Linked DNA regions of Ovis aries. The protein of the gene in region 2 purifies or fractionates together with the protein of the main gene of each other region. This does not show direct contact. Links are inferred from orthologs where the notes say so. Each region holds a gene or a part of one and is shown on either strand. Other genes may lie near its edges.

Evidence for each region.
Region 1: the proteins of DUSP10 (region 2) and MAPK9 purify together in Homo sapiens (affinity purification with mass spectrometry; 3 studies listed by BioGRID and IntAct, with this or other methods). This does not show direct contact. The link is inferred for Ovis aries from reciprocal best matches to the Homo sapiens genes DUSP10 and MAPK9.

Annotation. Positions count from the first base shown.
Region 1 is NC_056058.1:773,957-777,456, forward strand, and holds part of MAPK9 (mitogen-activated protein kinase 9), read left to right. Parts: exon of another isoform or gene 1-1,408; intron 1,409-1,626; coding exon 1,627-1,809; intron 1,810-3,208; coding exon 3,209-3,333; intron 3,334-3,500. UniProt on the Homo sapiens protein: Serine/threonine-protein kinase involved in various processes such as cell proliferation, differentiation, migration, transformation and programmed cell death.
Region 2 is NC_056065.1:24,475,604-24,479,815, forward strand, and holds the start of DUSP10 (dual specificity protein phosphatase 10), read right to left. Parts: upstream 2,801-4,212; 5' UTR 2,692-2,800; intron 510-2,691; 5' UTR 467-509; coding exon 1-466. UniProt on the Homo sapiens protein: Protein phosphatase involved in the inactivation of MAP kinases. Has a specificity for the MAPK11/MAPK12/MAPK13/MAPK14 subfamily. It preferably dephosphorylates p38.

The sequences.
Region 1 (3,500 bases), on a different chromosome or scaffold from region 2:
TTTTCATGAAATGATGGGTGAAAAGAATGGTTAAGAGAGTATGACAGGTCGGGAATTAAAGATAGAAACGACTCTGTATTGCTGCAAACGGGAACAGAAGCTAAGCTACGGAAGTTCACAGGAAAGCGACTGTTCACAGGAAAGTGACTGTTGTTTTAAGATGAGAGGGGAAAAAATTATGTTTGATTGGTGATGGAAAGCTCCAGTGGAGAGCAAAATGGTGGTGGTGTACCAGTAGGAAGAAAGGCATCACAGGGCACAAGAGGGCCTCCTCCTTTGTTCTTTGAAGAACGTATGTTAGTTCCCTAGGTTCTTTCACAGTAATGTCATTTTATTTTTCTAAGACATACCTCAATTAATAACTTTAAGATCCTGTTTGTTTATTTGATTCCTCTGGTTTGTGTTCTCTTATATAATGTTTATGGTTTTAGAATCACTTTCCACATTCATCTTGCCGGTTATCTCAAGCTCCCAGAAAAAGAGACAAAGCTGGCCTTGTCTCCATTTTACAAATAGGAAGATGAGACCCAAGGGAGATTGACTTCCTGACACCCAGTGAGTAACTAATACACAATGGAGTCTGAAACCTAGGTCATGTACTTTGAAAGGAAATAAAACACACTCATTTATATTGCAATGATAGCCAGAGTCAGTACCAAGTAAAACTGAATGACCTCTCGAAGCTGTCGCTGCTCAATGTAAGCCCAGCTACAGTGGGAGATAACATGATGAGGGCTCAGAAAGTCCAGAGCCCCGGCTCCCACCCCCTCTCTCGTGCACCCCATCCTGCCAAGCCTACAAGGTGGTTCCCAGCCGTAAATTGAGCAGTCAGGTAGCTCTCCTTATTTCAGGGAGCTTTATATCTAACATAGCTTTACTACGAGAAGTGGAGGTGTGAAAGTCACTAATAATGAGCATGTGAGCGTGAACGTGAAAGTCACTCAGTCGTGTCCAACTCTTTGCGAACCCATGGACTGTATAGTCCCTGGAATTCTCCAGGCCAGAATACTGGAGTGGGTAGCCTTTCCCTTCTCCAGAGAATCTTCCCAACCCAGGGATTGAACCCAGGTCTCCCGCATTGCAGGCAGATTCTTTACCAGCTGAGCCATACAGGAAGCCCAAGAATACTGAAGTGGGTAGCCTATCCCTTCTCCAGCGGATCATCCTGACCCAGGAATCGAACCAGGGTCTCCTGCACTGCAGGCGGATTCTTTACCAACTGAGCTATCAGGGAAGCCCGTTATTGTGAGAACTGATTTCAATTTGCCTACATAATTATTACCTACTTTCATGTTTAAGCCTTTCAGTCATAGGCATTCTTCAGCTTCAAGATAACTTCATTTTGATCTAGAGTAGGAAGCCATAAAGACTTCATTGTGTTGATTTAATAAACTGTGACCAGAGTTTATATGGTGCAGAGTTTGTTTGTTTGTTTTTTTAAATACTCTTAACTAGGAACCCAAACCTTATTTGAATATTATTTCAGAATGCTTCTGCTGACCCAGGGAGCTGTCCTGATTAATTATTCATTGATAAGTATAATTTAAGTGTCTCTTTGAATGATGCAACTTTATATAATATGAATATAAGGCATTTCAGTTGTATTTTCCTCAAGAAACTCCTTAGATATTGATCAGTGGAATAAAGTTATTGAGCAGCTAGGAACACCATCTGCAGATTTCATGAAGAAACTTCAGCCAACTGTGAGGAATTATGTAGAAAACCGACCAAAGTATCCTGGAATCAAATTTGAAGAACTCTTTCCAGATTGGATATTCCCATCAGAATCTGAACGAGACAAAATTAAAAGTAAGATATCCTTTTTTCTTATACTTGTTTTCATAATCTGGTGAAGCCCTGTTTATGTTTGCATTCTAAACTCTGTGAAAACTGAAAGATGAAATAGTTGAAAACCGTCAAAGTCATTTATAGGCAAGAATGAAGCCATTTCAGAAAGAAAGCCTAAAGACCTAGAAGTTTTGTCCTCAATAAAGGGGACAAAACTGAAGCCTCTGGTCAAAATATTTACATAGTCTGAAAGATTCTTATATTAGTTACAGCAAATGGAATTCAAACTGTTACCAGGTATAAAGAATACTTGAATAAAGATTGTCGCCCATTTGAAGAGTCAGAAATTTTTAAAGGCCTTTTCCCCTGATCCTGTGCCCATCACATTTTAATGTGTTTAAAGGAAAAGAATAGATTTGGTTTTCTCTGCATCAAGACAAACTGTGCCTCATTCAGAAGAGTTCCATCTCTCCTTTGCCTGCACACGTGAACTTTATTTGGTTTTGGTATTCATTTGGCTGTCCTGGGTCTTTGCTGTGGCGTGTGGGGTCTTGGGTTGCGCGTGCAAGCTCTCAAGTGGAGCATGTGAGGTCTAGTTCCCTGACCAGGGGTTGAACGTGGCCCCCTGCACCAGAAGTGCAGTGTCTCAGCAACTAGAGCACCAGGGAGGTCCCACCTGTGAATTTTAGTTGCTAAAACCTAGGTGAGCCTTGTATTTAACCAAGTTATTGAATTTGTTGAGTTTTTTCCTAGCTACTAATCTCTAGATTTTTTTTTAAGTGTACATTGTATACAGGTAGGCAAAGCAGAGGGCTTCCCTGGTGCAAGATACCTGGGCTCGATCACTGGATTAGAAAGATCATCTGGAGAAGGGAATGGCTACCCACTCCAGTGTTCTTGCCTGAAAATCCCAAGGACAGAGGAGCCTGGTGGGCTAGGGTCCATGGGGTTGCAAAGAGTCGAACACGACTGGGAGACTACGCACAGCACAGGCGAAGCAGAGATATCTGTGAGCTGCTGTATACGATGCGCATATGAAGTTGTTGTGTGGCTTAGTCTGCTCGGTTTCACTTTGATGTGGCATCAAGAGAAAAGGCCTGCCCGTGCTTCATGCCTGCACTCTCGGCAGTGCCACCCTCGGCTTAGCTCCAGTACCCTCCCTGTCCATGGCTTGTCAGCCTTCTGCCCTGTCCTTCTCCCCTCCCAGACTCAGGGCAAAAGCACCTTGGAAAGCCTGGTTTCTAGGAAATGGCTGCTTGATTTACTCTTAAAGAAAGAGACTAATAATCCTGAATTTATCACCAGTTTCTCAGAGTTAGTATATCTTTGTTCTGTCTGAGCTGTCACAGTTAGTTCTTTATTGTGTAATTCTCAGGATAAAATTGTTACTTTATTAATCTAATATTTGTTTTTACCCTAGCAAGTCAAGCCAGAGACTTATTATCAAAAATGTTAGTGATAGATCCCGACAAGCGAATCTCTGTAGATGAAGCTTTGCGTCACCCTTATATCACTGTCTGGTATGACCCTGCTGAAGCAGAAGCGGTAAGCATCTATTTTGAAAAGACTTGTGTGTAAAGGCAGGGCATACATTTCCCTGGATCTTCTGTCAGTCTGAAATGGCTACACAGAGATTTAAGGTTAAAAGTACTCCTGATTACTTTGAGGCCATATGCTGCTGCTAAGTCGCTTCAGTCGTGTCCGATTCTGTG
Region 2 (4,212 bases):
CCAAGTCATTGGGGTAGATTATTTTGATGCTGGCTAGCTGTTTAGGGGTCCCTGCCACGGGGCTGCCCACCCCACCTGATGGACTTAGAGAGCCTGCATTCTCATTGTTGTTGACCATCTGGCTGGCAGGACAGGTGGTGGAGCTTCCGATGGCAGTGGTGGCGGGGCCAGCGGCAATGGCCTGGGTTGGGGCCTGATTGTCCTTGTCGTAGGTTGCCACAGTGCAGCAGCTGGCACTGCTGCACCCACAATTCAGGGAGCGGGCAGAGCCGCTGGATGAGGGCATATACGTCAGATTCGCAGCCTTTAGGGACACAACGGTGGTGGCGATGACAGGAGGGTGGCTGGTACTGCCAGGGGCGGTAGAGCCAAGGTAGCTAGAGTCTAAACAAAGGTTGAGATCCTGAGGTCGAACGGGCCTAGACAGTGCCACCACTACCCTGTCGTCTAAAGGAGACGGAGGCATGAGGAGGCTGAAAACTGGCAATTCAAGAAGAACTCAAGACAGTCTGTAAAGAAGGGGAGGGGGGGAAAGAAAGAATAAAGTCATGTGACACAAAAAGCAGTCGAATCCAATCCCTAGGAAAGGACTTTGCATCCCTCTTAGTGAAGTTGTCCTAAGTGCCCAGTTTCCTGTCACTCAAAGCTTGACACTCACCACTATGGATTCAAAGAGGATGCACGCCTGAGGACCATCCCCCTCCCCACCCCCTGTCCTTGCTGAGTCTAAGGTTAGATATAGTCTATGCAAATGTTGAACAACCTTTCATGGACCCACATCCAAGTTCAGCCTTAGAAAAAGTACAAGCACAAAGGATCAGAAAAGCTCAAGATGGAAGGGAAGGTTCTTAAGAGGCATCTCTTCTGGGCCTCATCTCCAGGGCAGAAATATACTGCAATCATCTGAGAAGGACCCATACGTCCACCCTTGCATACTTTCCATGTAATTCCTTCAGCCACTGCAAAGGCAAAGGAATGACCAAGAGTGCTGGCAAGGCTCATGGGAATATACAGCAGCTAAATATACATCAGGGGCAGATGTCAACTTTCTGCACATCAGAATGAAAGTAGCCCTCTAAGTGAATCTCTTTAATTTTGAGCTATTCTTACTTTTCTTTCTCCCAAGTCCTTTGAAAAGCACAACAAAGTCATATTAAAACCTCCCTTGTTTCCTATTGCCCTCTTATTTATAAAGTAATCTGCATTTCCTCTTTCATTACATACTGGTCCCCTAAAATGAAGCCTCAAGCTAGGGAAGCAGGTTTGAAAACCCTGACCCTGACAGATCCATCCCTCAGATGTCTCCCTTGCCACACCACCCACTCCACTCCTGCCTTTAAGGAAAGGACCACTTCAACCCTCCATTCTCCTCCTTTCCCTACAGGAACATCCTAGAGCTTCTCTCAGCAGAAGGCAGCCACTATGCATAATCTTTTGATCTCACACAGACGTGCCCCCTCTTCAAGAGGATGGATTCATAAAGACTTCCCAGTGAGAAGTAAAGAGTCACCCACAGGGGTCTATGTCCTGGCTCATGAGAGGGTACCTGCAAAGGGACAGTTCCTTCCTCCCCATGGGCATAGAGGCACTCCACTCCCGGGCCCTGCTGGCTCCTCTCCTGCTAGACATACACACAGAGGAGACACCAAACGCCATGCAAGAGGAGCTCATCTAAACCAACTTTAAGAGATGTCTGGAAAAATGTCATCCAACATCCCTCTACACAGGACTGTCACCATTCTCAGACACAGAGCCAAAATGTCACAGGCAGAATACACACACACACACACACACACACACACGGGCACGCACCTATCACATCCACAGATCCCCCCGCTGGCCTCAGCTTTCTCTCACCACCTTTGGATGGGCAAGAAGAATCCAACCCCTGTTCTCCCTCCCTTTCTCCTTTCTTCCCTCCCTCCCCCGCCCCTTCCTCCCTTGCGTAGTATTTTTTGAAGAGCGAGTACTATTCCAGAAGCTATAACTGTTTCCCAGCTGGACCCAGCGGTGAAAAGTCTTTGCTGTTGTGTTACCTGGTAGGGTACGTCCCAGGATCAACAGTCCATTTCCCTTGAGAGGGACGCAGAAGCGTGCTCACGGAGACATAAGCTGGGACCCCCACCTCCACACAGAGTGCGCGGCGCGCACACACGCTCGCTCTCTCTCACACACACATACACACACGCACGGAGTGTATAAAGAGACCTGCATCCCTGCAGCAGAGGGTCGGGCATATCTATTGCCCGTGAAACCATCCAGACAGCCTGTAGGAAACCTCCCCGAAAAACACTGAGCTATCCCCCTCCCTCTCTAGTCGCCCTTCCACCTCTAGTTAGCGGCTGGAAAGAAAATTAAGTGGTCAGAGAATGCTGCTTCCCCACTTCGGGGCACTTAACATCCTCCTTCGCAACACAGCGCACTAACAAGTCCCTGGCCTTTAAAACTGCCGCAAAGCATCCCAACAAACCTCATTTTTTCCTTCGCCCCCAGTCCAAGTAGACTGCAGAGAGAGTAAACGCACAGGGCGGCGTGAGCCAACAGCGGGAACACTTTAACCTCACCTGCTGTGGCTCCTCCGTAAACATCGCAACACACACGCGCACACACACACCACATACATACTCACTCACACTCACACCGCCTCAAACCCCTGGACTCTCAGGAGTAGCCACGGTGACTTCCACTTACTTCATAAATAAGTGTAACCCTCCACCATCTGGCGCTCCGCTTCAGCAAGGGATTCGCACATTCAGCCCTCATTCACTAGGCTTCATTGATCTCCAGCAGCAACATAGTTACTTTCTCTTTTGCTACACTGTAAATGTAAGGTTCTGAGGGGGCGGGCCGGCTGCCGACCGACGGCGTGTTGAACCAATAAGAATCCGGAGAAACCTGACCGCTACTTCGCTGCAGCCCGCGACCAATGGGCACCTGGAGGGGGCGGAGCCGGGGCGTGGCCATGGCTCTTTAAGGAGGGTTTATCCGACGCCGCTTTGGGTCCACTGTGTTATAATACGGACGGTGATGTCATTGGCAACCAATCAAAAACTTAAAAGGGCCAACTGGGGCCCGCGCGGAGCAGCTGCTCTCTATTTACATGTAAACCGAACCCGCAGGATGCAGTTAACCCTTTCCGGGGCTGAATTGTCAATGGGCTGTGTTTGCCGCTCCGCCTAAAACTGGCTCTGCGAACTTGGCGGGATCCCTGTACATCGCCTCACCAAGGGACAGACCACGCTGTTTATTTTCCCTTCTTACTCTGGCTGGCTGATCAACCGTGTCAGAATAACTTTCTGAAGGCAAGAGGCAACGACAATAATCACTATCCCCAGCTGGAAAAACGGGTTCCCTGAGTCCCTCGAGGTGACCTGATAAACCGAAGATTCACGGACGTCGCCCAGCTACCCGAGCAGGGGGATAAATGTAAGAGCGCGGCCAGGGACATCGCTTCTTCTACAGTCTGAGCCCGGGGCCACGCGCTGGAGGCCTGGGCTCCAGCGGGACTGGCAAGTCTGCCGTCCGTCCACCGGCAGTGAGGCCCGCCAGCCTCGCCGCGGCCCGAGTCCTCGGGGCCGCCCCGCTTGCTCCGCGCCGCCAGAAAGCATCGACCGCCCGCCCGCAGATGTCGCTGCCCCTCCGGCTGCCCTACTGCTGCCCGGCGCGGCTGTGGCGCGGCGCCCTGTGGCTCGCCTACTTCAGCGCCCCAGTCACGCCCCCGCTTCCCTCGCCTGCCTCCCGGGGCTCCACCCGTAGCTCGAAGGCAGTGATGCGGAGGGCTGCTCGGAGGCGGCAGTCTGGTTCCCAGTCAGAAGCTACAGAGGGCGCGTCCCCGAGGGGCTGCACAGGCGTCACCCCAGAGCCCGCGCGCCCGCCCCGGCCCCCGGGCAAGGCCTCCTGCCCGCTAGCGCCCCCTCTTCCACCCAGCGAGCAAGGTCCCCGCGCCGCGCTCCGCAGAGCTGCGCGCTACCGGCCCGAGGCCCGCCTTCCCCTCGCCCCTCCTCAGTTGCCCGCCACCGTGTAGGGCCCCTGGGAGCCGAGGACCCAACAGCCCGGAGCTTCTGGAACAGCAGCGGCTGGAGGAAAGGAGCTGGAGCTGAGAAGAAATAACCAGCTTGAGTGGAGCCGACGGAGAACTGGAGGCGGCGCCGCCCCTCTAGGTTCTCCTGTATTTCGTCGCCGGAGGGGTCGCGGTCAGAGGTGACCATCTGA